2 linked regions of the Drosophila melanogaster genome follow. The protein of the gene in region 1 interacts with the protein of each later gene in a pairwise test. Each region holds a gene or a part of one and is shown in the gene's direction. Other genes may lie near its edges.

Region 1 (2,902 bases):
TATGGGAGTATTTGAGGCCAAGTCTTAAGCTATTGTCTAGGAAACAAAATACCAAATACAAAAACGAAACTAAGGGTATTCTTTAAAACAACATGAATTTTGTTTGTATTTATTAAATCTATGAAAATGATCCGTAAACAAAAGTAAAGAAAAATAATTTTGCACATATTTTTTTTAGGAAATCTTTAGAACTGTCTGTAAAAATATATATTTAGAGTAACCCCTGAATAATGATTAAATACTTATGCATAATTTTTATTTATTTTACAGGGCTCCCTTGCATGATGCCAGAAAAGTGGACGTAAAAAATCTAATAAAATTATATTTATAGAAACAGAATGCAGCTTGCCATAGTTTTATTTTTTAAATATTTTTGAGAGACGGTTGGGAAAAGGGAGAAAAAATATTGATACATCGTGTAGGCTGGAATAACTAATTCAAAGTCACACCAATACTTTTTCCAAACCAGTTTTGCAATCTGCAGTAAAGTTTTTACAAATTGATCAAATCACTTTCGTTATAATGAGGTTTCGGTCGCTGAAGAACATATGGCCAAAAGAGAAGTTGGAGCAATTCCTATTTTTGTTCATTTTATGTGGCTTGCCCGCCATATACTATGTTCTAATGGAGATAATTCTGCCGGAGTTGTCGGATTATTGGTCACCTGGTTACGTATTTCAGCTGCTGCTGGGACTGTTCCTCTTTTCGAATGTGATGTCCAACTATGTCATGTGCATCCTGGTGGACCCCAGCATCGATCCCAAGCTTATGAAGAATCAGTTGGTGCGCGGACAGCACAGTGAGGACTGGCACGAGTGCGACAAGTGCGGGATTCTTGCTCCACCCCGGTCACGTCACTGCAGGAAGTGTGGCGTCTGTGTCCTGATGCGAGATCATCACTGCTTCTTTACTGGTTGCTGCATCGGTCATGAGAACTATAGATACTTTTTCTATTTTCTTATCTACTTTTTTCTAAGCTGCATGATTTCACTAACGTCATCTTCGATATTTATTTACGTTCTGCATGGGGGCAGATACCAGCTCTTTATGCTGACACATCCCGCACCGAACTCTGCCTATTTTAACTCGCTTATTATCAGGATAATCTACTTTAAGTTGCCCGATATATACGAGCTGGTGTTCACTCTGGTATTCGTCCTGCTGTGGATCGGGGTATGCGTAGCTACCTATGTGGCTTATGATCAGTGGTCTCGTGGCTATTTTTGCTATGATTTTGAACTTCAAAACATTCCTTTTGACCGAAAACTGCGCCGAAACTTCAAGACGTTCTTGGGCAGGCGAATGAAGTGGACCTGGATCTCCGGATTTGTTCCCAGCCAGCTGGACCACGACGGATTTGATCTGGATCCCGACAACGAACGTGTGGCAGATTGGTGCTCAGAAACAACCATCAAGGATGGCTAAATAATTTTATGCATTCTCTGTGTTTTCCAAATTACCGGTGCGATGAAAAATTAAAAATTCGAATTCATTTGATTAGTTCAGGCATGCAAGAAAGCTTTCCAAATTAAAAAGTTAAATATTTAAGGATGTGTTATTATGCGATATGTGTATGTTTCGTTTTATTTGGTCTCTACTGTGCTTGCTGATTTTCCCCAGGTTGGCAGTCTCGTCAGCTGTTTTCCTGATAACATTGACTTGCCGCAAAATGCTTGTTTGTTTAGTCTGAAATTGGCATCTGGTCAAGATCAACTGCCAGTAGGTAGAGACCACATATGGAGCCCACCAATTCGGAGTCGCGGCACCGCCTAAATGGAGGGGGCAGGAGTTCCGCGCCAGCAGGCTCCGGAGAGTACATCAAGGTGGTGGAGTCCCAATGCGAGACCGATGGATTCGTTAATGAACAGTGGACGGAACCGGCGATGCCAGGTCCAGTGCCTTGGAAGACCATTATTATCATTCTTTTGCTGTTTATCGGTGGCATTGTGAGTAGTGATTACTGGTGCCCACACATACATGCACAGTTCCTTCGAACTTCTGATCTGATGTCTTTGTCTTCAGGTTTGCATCGCCTTTGCCACCTTAAACTGGGTGACGGACACGAGCCGGGAGCGATCGGATCGGGTGTGGGCGTTGGGTATCATCGGGGCACTGACCTTCATCCCGGGAAGCTACTATGTGTACGTGCTCTTCTGCATAATGCTCAACCGCAACGGATTCACCATGGACGAGATACGAAGACTCGGCTGAAAAGGAGAAACCAAAGACACCAAATGTTTCGTCAAATAGAGTTTATTGCTTTTACACTACAGTTATTCACACATTTCATTGGCATAATTTCTTTAGCAACAATCTTAATATGTAGTTCATTATGATACATGTGTATTGCCCCGGTAATTGTATAAAAATATTTTTTAAACACGAGCTTCGTTATCAAAATGTATAATGCTTGGCGTGGCTTCTAGTGCGCGGAACATTGGCTATCTATTTAAATAGCGCATCGCTTGCTTAAATATGTATATGTTTTACAGGCATGAACTATAGGTTATATGATTTATGTTATGGCCATTTTCTCTATCAAGCTTGGGGCACAGTATAACTTTGTGTTTCAGCTTAATTATATACAGTGTTATGCGTTACATGTTGTATCTATGTAGGTAAGAATTCTTTACAAACAATTGCTTTTCGTGTTTACGGATATAACAGGGCGCGTGGGAATCAAATACTTTAACAAGAGTAGGGGATTAGTATGGGGTGTATACACAATACATACACAAACATTGTAACGAAATTAAACTAGCGACAGGTAACATTTCACTGCTCCACGACGGTCACCTCGATGGGCGGAATGAACTTCCACACATGCGCCTGCTGCTCATCGTAGCTGGAGGAGAACATGACCGATTGGCCGACACTCTCCGCTTCTGCCGGACAGGAGCGG
Region 2 (7,863 bases), on another chromosome or scaffold:
GAGAAAGGTTTGTTTTGGTGTGGCGCAGTTCCGAAAACAAGAGTAGTGTTCCAAACCGGTTCCCAAAGCGTGTATTTCTTATAAGACCAAAACAAGACGATTGCAGCGCTTTAAATTACGTCACCACTTGAAGCCAGAGAGCAGAGAGAATTGAAGATTGAGAGGGAAACAAACAAAAGGGGGATGACCAAGACCACCAAACAAAGCCGGACCTCCAAGTATAACCCGAGTTTCCAAAAGTCGTAGTTTAGAAATTAAAGGAAGGTTTAGGGTAAACATACATGTTATTATAGTCAACTATTTTTAATTTTTTTGAAACATTTGCAGTGCCTGAAGCTTTTGTTTCGATGGTGGTAAGATAAAGTGCATTTCCAAACGATTTTAAAACATGTTTAAAATAAACTTAATAACAAGTTTTCACGCTTGACAGATTTTATCTACTGCACCTTGGGGGATAAGGTTTGCTTTCGAAATGTATCATCCGGAAGTTTAAGTTTATAAAAACGTAAGCATATGATCTTCTCTTTGAAGACCCACTCCAAACATTTTTAAAGGAGGATTGTTCCACTTTTGAGATAAACTAAACACATGTAAGATACTCTTTTTTTTACACATGTAAGTTAGGGAAATGACAAAAAAAATTAATGTAGCCCAAGGAGTTAACGGCTAAATAACGTGGGTGATCGTCGGAAGAAGCCAACAAGCATGGGCGGAGACTCGAACTCGAACTCGCGCACTGATTTCGTAGGGAATTCCAGTTGCCTTAGACGACTGAGCCACCGCGGCTGGAAAATTTGGGACGTCCGAAATCGGAGAAAGGTGTTTGAAGCAGGTTAATATATGTGGTTAACCTACAGATAAGGCTACAAGCAGCACTCTTTTATTTATGGATGCAAAATCAGCTGATTGACAGCTTAAAACGCTTATTTACGATGGCCTGTTGTTTGGCCCTGATAACACGCGATTAGCGATATGGAAAACGGACCACCAGACCATCAACTTTTTCTCACTTTATATCCCCATGTTCCTGGCTGCGAAGTGCAGTTAATCCGCAGCTATAAATAGCAAACAAAAGTGAATTCGGTGGGTGACGTAGTTGGGAATAACAGAGAAGGGGTGGGATGGATACGTACTAAAGAGATAGAGAGAGAGCGACAGAGAGCGCGCTAACGAACGACGCAAAACTGAAGGAAACAAGGTACACAAAGGGGAACTGATAAACGAAACTTACTGTAAAACTGCAGTTACAGTGCCGTACTTTTATATAACAGCAATTGCACCCCACGTTCACTGGCTTCGTTTCAATAAATAAAATAAACACGGGCTAAAATTCTACGCGAGTCTGATTAGGCATGCGGTTTAAGCCATTTCAATTCCGTTCGCTGTCAATTTTATCTCTGTTTTGCTGCAGTTGGCTCTCCAAATCTTTTAGTTATGGTCACCCTACGATAGCAAAGCATGTATTTTGATTGCATCGCTGCTATCGATGTTTGCGGATTGGCGCTTTAGCGTTCGCACCGGTCACACTTACCGTACTTTTTAAAATTAATATTTACTTTACGATGCGGAAGCACAAACCTATCTTGAGTTGCTCCTTTCGAAGTAAATTTTAAAAATAATATTAACTTCAATAATAGTAATAAAAACATATCAATTTACATTTGGGGACACAAAATACATAAACTATGAATATTTAGAAATAAATGAGCTTACATCTCTTCGTTTTGTTGTTTATTTATATGACATCTAATTCAAAAATTATTGTATAATATCATGATATTTGCGAATAATGACTCGTATAAACGTTACCGTTCTGCAAAACGCATAATGTCAGTGTGACCGTGTTGCGCGGCATTTTACCACTTTCAGAGATTAGTGCTCACGGGTTTTCGTGCTGCGCAGCAGTTAAATAAAATTGAATACATCAAGAGCTGCAGATATAAATCGGAGTTGAAAACCAGTGCAAGTTGCATTGGCCCACAAATCAAAGGTACGCCTTATAAAGGAGAGTGAATCAATTGCCGAATTAGTAGTGCAAAAGGTCAAAGCATCAGTCGTGAAAAAGTGGCACACATAAATACAAATGCATACATACATACTCGTAGATGCAACACACACCTACACCTAAACACACATACACACACAAACACACATCCGTGGGAGGAATAAAACACCCACAATTGCTGATTATTTTCTGCACTCGTTATCGTTATCGCTTTCGTTTTCGCATTCATTTTCCACAGCCGCAGTTTCGTGGGGCGTGCAATGTTTAGGATCCACCTCAAGATGGGTCCCCAACGCAACCAGCTCCACAGCAACAACAACAATGGTGCCGCCGGAAGTAGCAGCAGCACCGGAAACCGTCACCTGAAGGAGTTCACCTGCTGCTTCGGCCTGCATGTCCACACGGCCACTTTGATGATCGGATTGTGGCACCTGGTAAGTGCATCAAGGGGGGTATCCTTTAATCCATACATGCGTGTGTGTATATCGAGATACACCCACGCATGCAGTCCTGCGGCATTTGCGAAAAACCTTTGACCCTGCTCAGTGTCACGCAAGGGAAAAATCAATCAGCCAATGACTGCAAAACTTTGCGAAGACGAAGACGAGCCAACTCTGCACTTTCCCCGCCTGTGACGTCAATTGGTGGCTGATTGGCCGCTGCTGCGTCATCTGATCAAATTTAACTACAGTATAATTCGCTTAGCTGCCTCGAGTACTTTGCACAATGCCTCGATGCAGGTAACTTAAAAATGCAGCTAACTTAATTTTTTTTTTTCTATTTTCTATTTTCTATTCACACAAAAAAATGGAAAAATAATGCAGATATCTTGCCGATGCAGCTAACTATCGATGCAGCTAAGCGAATTATACTGTACTATCATCGGGGCTTTTTGGCACAACAACTTATTTCTGCCATCGGTTCCACTGCGGAAGTTTCCACATCCCATGTCCATTGTCCGAAACTAACCTTTCACAAGATCTGACTTCGCATTAGCAATCGCTACACTTGGAGAAATGTAAAGCATTGTCGAATTTTCAAAAGTTTCATAAGAAATTAGTTTTATTGGCTAAAAAAAGGGATATAAATGTGCAAAGTGCAGTATTTTCAGTCTTGTTATCAATGTTTTTGGAAACCCAGAAACCTTTGATGTCTCTTCTGAAAATGAAAGAGAATGCTCTGCCCTTAAGAGAGCGCGAATCTGCGGCCAATAAAAGATTTGAGTCGTTGAGCAAAAACCCTTGCTTAATAGTATTTGTCTCACTACGCTATTCGTGTATATTTTACACTGTTCCGCTACTTTCTTTATGCTTTGATCAGGTCACGTTTTCCAGTAGAAAACTCCGTCACATGGGTTGATTATGGTGTGGACAGCAGTGGAGTTATCTTTTCTAATCTGTCCAATCTCAAGGGTTTCTTTGTTTACATTTTGTAGATATGTATGGCGTTAGAGGCTTTAAAAACAAAGCAATTCCGCAAATCGAAGGTTGCTTGTTGTTTGGTTGACTCATCCCCAGAGTGACAATTGTTGATATACTGCGGCGCACTGCAGATTAAATTTCATGATGAATTTCTGATGAATAATTTAACTAAAGATGGCAAGTTGCCGCATCTCGGGTCGTTGCAAGGCCTTCAACCTGAGATACTTAGATACTGAATCGGATATCCAACGGCAGCCATCTGAGCAAACAGCAACCAGAAACATGAGCGTTCAAGTTATTTTTAATAACTACACGTACTCGACAAGTGATGCGAAAATATTTACTCTTGTGGTGGCTTACTCTTGCTTTTCGGTAAGAAAGATATATTCTTCTGGAACAACATTCTGAAGCGTGCTGTCATAAATCTGAGAATTGTTAATTCAGCTGTCATCTATCAGCACACAGGCTGCAAATCAAATCAGGCGAAGCTTTCTTATCTTCTTTTTTGCCAGCTTATCTTCATGAGCGGACCCATGCACCTGCTAACGCACTCGAAATACTTTTAAATGTTGAGCTATCATTAAAGTCCCCCCTCGTGATCCTTGGGAATCTTTGCTTAGTTTGTGACGTTTACAACTTATTCACATTTTTATAAATATTGTTCTGCTCACACAAAAGTCTACATTCCCCACTACTTCCAATGAAATTCCATCCGGAGGAAGCTGTCCAACTGGTGAAGGCATTTGCGAGATTCGAATGCAATGCCCCACACAGACGACACATTTCCGGAAGGCAGTTCTTGTTGTCCTATTGACATTGTTTCCTCAAATAAAGTCATCCTGCGCGGCTATGCTTCTAAGGCGAATAAGGATGTCGAAGCGGTGGAGGAGCTAGAAGAGATACAGGAGATGAATGATGAGCTAAGGGATTTGTTCATCAATACAACTGCCATCAATTGCTCGTCCCTTTCTGAACTAAAAATCCAGACTGACGCTTTCAACACCCTTAAAGAGCGTACACTATTCTCATTGGGATACTCGACAGCCGGGCTTTTAAAGAAATCAAAAATCAGTAAGGTTCTAAAAGGGAAGGTCAATTTGTACCAACAGATTGTGAGCCTTGTAAAGCAACGTACAAAGACCAATTCAGAGATCACCATAGGAAAGACAAGTCATCCCGTGCACCTGATGGTCTTACAGAGCTTTTCGCGAATGTTTCGCGATATGGGCAATGACCTGAGCGTGGCCCTGCCCGAAAAGATGATTACGCCACGCTCCTTTGGCCTAATCTACGAATGGATGATCGAGGACACGCCAGTCTTGCCGCGACTCGGTCTCCTAGAGGTTTTCCACGCTGCCAAATTTATGGAGATTCCACAGTTGGTCAGGCAGTGCAAGTATTGCCTCGATCATGGATTCACTGAGGACTCCGCTGCGATGCTGTACTTTGAGGCGAAAATACTGAAACTTGAGGTTATCCATTTGCAATATCTTGAGCGCGTCTCAAAGTTTTTTCTCACGCTGGTGGCATCGAAAGAGTTTTTGAGACTGCCGCTGAAATCAATGCTATTGCTCATCCAATCGGATCTGATAGGCGTGAATACGGAGCTGGAGGTCTTCATGGCAGCCGCTCGGTGGCTAAGCCACCACTGGCCTCAAAGAGAGGAAAACGTAACGGATGTTGTATCCAGCATACGTTTTGGACTAATCCCGCCGTGGTTGCTCATCCGTTTACAGAAACCGGATGTCACATCTGTGGGGGTGGGGAGAATCGTAGCGCAGCCAATTGTGCGCCAAGCCATTCATGAAGGCATCGCGTACACGACCACGCGGATGTTTTATGGAAAAGATCGGGAGGCTTTTAAGCACTATTTGCATAAGGCTTGCGTAAAGCCACCCGTGCAACGCACTTGGATATACGACCGGAAATGTCCGTATCATCATCGAATGCAATGCAGGAACACGGTGGACTTAACCTACGACGCGTTCCTTGAATATCTTAATTACACGCAACGCCAGCACCGGGATTATTGGAAATCTCTGGAACCAGTAGATGCTAGCAATGTTTGCTTCAGTTGCCAGGCAAAGAAGTCTGATTTAACTAAGCCCAACAGTTGAGTCTCCACGTTGGTTGTAGAACTTGTAAAATATATATTTCTACTTATATATGTAAGCCTCCATGTGCAATTAAACAGTTTAATTATTTTAGTAAGTAAAACCGCCTACGTTTATTTTCAGTTCTTGAACATATTGGCGCTAAGCGTTCTAGCGGTCATATGGCGCAATCCGGAGATGATGGACGAACTGGAAGGTGGCACCCACGACTACACCGTGGATCTGAGTGCACCGGCCCTACCCACGCCCCTTAGCAAGGTCGAACCGCCCTACGCCTACCGTGACCACTCCCTCAACTATCGTAAGCGTTACCGTAAGCAGTGGAGAGAGCAAGTTCCGCAACGCATTTAAATATCAATTTTCTGCTGCAGAGAACTTCGATATGGGCGGACTGGTGTGCACCTGCATGATAGCCATTACACTGATGATGATCTACGGAACCATCAAGGGAAAACCCTCCCACCTGTTGCCGTTCTTCTGTTTGCAATTGTTTGATTTCGCTATTACAACGTAAGGATTATAATCGGTGGAGTTACAGAGACCTCAAAAGATTTAAATCGCCACTTTACTTTAGTAAAGCTTAAATAGCCTTCTTAAATCCTTCGAGGTTTCTAGGACTCTTTTAATAGGGAGATTAATGTACTTATGCATTGTTCGTTATCATAGTCTCACCGCCGCTGGATATCTGTGCTACCTGCAGGCCATTCACAGCATCATTGCCGAGTCGCATCGCTTGCCGTGGCGCGAGAAGCTGCTAGAACTACCACCTGAGGAGCTAGTTGTTGTTGTCCTGGTCGTATTCATCTGCATTGTGTTTCTAAAGGCCTATTGCATTGGTATCGTTTGGCGCTGCTACAAGTACTTGACGCTCCGTCAGCAACACGTTCGCACCCTGTTCCCCTTCCTGGAGCCACCGACTGGAGTCCACAGTGTTGGCGGAACCTTTGGTGCCGAAGAGCGGTCTTACTCCACTCTGTTGCCCAATTACGATGAAGCGATTGCCCAGTACTTGAAGCAGGCACCACCGCCATCTTATCAGGTGGCCATGTCAAACTACGAAGAGGGTGAAGACGCAGCTGTTGGAGGTGCGGAGGTTAATCCTTCGGTGGCCCCTCTCTTCGTGGCCCTTGGAGCAGCCACTACCGCGAACGTAGCCTCCAACACGGATGACAACATGGATAATAACAATGATCAGCCGAACAATAACAACACTATGCATGTCAATGCCAATACGCCACCAATGCGCCGCAGCGATGCAGCTGTAAACGCTAATGTCGACGAGGAAGCGGACGATTTGGAGGTTATTGACGCTGGCGTTGATGTAATCGGTGGCATTCCGCCTCCTCCGCCCTACAACGACGTTGCCGATGCCCAGGTGCAAGTGCCATCGCAATCGCCGCTGCATCGCCAGCCAAACATCCCGGGACAAGTATTCGGCGGACGCGACGAAAGCCAGGCTTAAACAGTACTTTCGACTGGATTGCTTCTCATGGCGAGTGGGTTGTGATCAGCGGTGACCACCCCTCTCCCATCCTCTTCTTGCCCAGATGATCTGGTTTCTGGTCCCTCATTTCGCAGCTATCATTCCCAGGCACACATACACCTTCTTAATGGTTGCTTCAATGTATTGAACACTGTTTTTAGAAAAACGAAACGCAAACAAGTTTTCGCTATTAGCCATCGCTCATTATTGTTGTTTAACGTACAACTAAGACGCTCTAGTTGCTGCTAATTTAGTAAACAAAAGCATTAAAGCCAAAAACATATTGTGATGCTGGCGAGGAAAGCATCAATTCCTTTTCGGCCGCATCTGACCCGATTTTAGCTGCAACAATCTGTTAGAACGTTTTTCATTTGGCCCGAACTAGCCTGAGAAGTTCGGATATTGTAGGCCCAAGTAGTTGTTACCAGAGAGTGTCGCTGGCATTGTAGACACCTTTACGATGTTCTTTGTTTTAAGTTATCTCGTAAGACTATGCATATTGAATACCGTGTACTGAATTCAGAGCACAGGCAGTCATAATCCATTAATTATGATGATATTACCAGCAACAGTAAAGTTTTATGTGTGTACAATATCTAAATGTATACTGTGTACTAAATATGCAAAGATATTCGAATAAAAATTAGTTTATATTTAATTTGTGTTTGCGACTTCATTTTAATTTAAAGAACATTATAATATAATTTCCAATTTCAGCTGATACCCTAATTCTATTTGGAAATTGGTTTCATTTTCAATAGAGTTGGAATGTTGACTTTTTAGTTTATAGTGTTAATCCTTTAACAGAGTTGATGATATTTATTTTAATTGGGGAAAGAA

What was found. The genes of interacting proteins can lie anywhere in the genome.
Region 2: the proteins of CG2611 (region 1) and CG14767 interact in a two-hybrid assay, tested with the Drosophila melanogaster proteins (one large-scale study listed by BioGRID).

Annotation. Positions count from the first base shown.
Region 1 is NT_033779.5:20,648,515-20,651,416, forward strand, and holds CG2611 (uncharacterized protein), read left to right. Parts: upstream 1-1,674; 5' UTR 1,675-1,736; coding exon 1,737-1,946; intron 1,947-2,022; coding exon 2,023-2,211; 3' UTR 2,212-2,384; downstream 2,385-2,902. Other genes in the region: CG18810 (uncharacterized protein), read left to right, coding at 523-1,425; brun (brunelleschi), read right to left, coding at 2,776-2,902.
Region 2 is NT_033778.4:8,717,833-8,725,695, reverse strand, and holds CG14767 (uncharacterized protein), read left to right. Parts: upstream 1-1,856; 5' UTR 1,857-1,990; intron 1,991-2,198; exon of another isoform or gene 2,199-2,243; 5' UTR 2,244-2,265; coding exon 2,266-2,439; intron 2,440-4,071; exon of another isoform or gene 4,072-4,187; coding exon of another isoform or gene 4,188-5,543; exon of another isoform or gene 5,544-5,596; intron 5,597-5,663; coding exon 5,664-5,853; intron 5,854-5,911; coding exon 5,912-6,050; intron 6,051-6,206; coding exon 6,207-7,002; 3' UTR 7,003-7,679; downstream 7,680-7,863. Other genes in the region: CG30357 (uncharacterized protein), read left to right, coding at 4,188-5,543.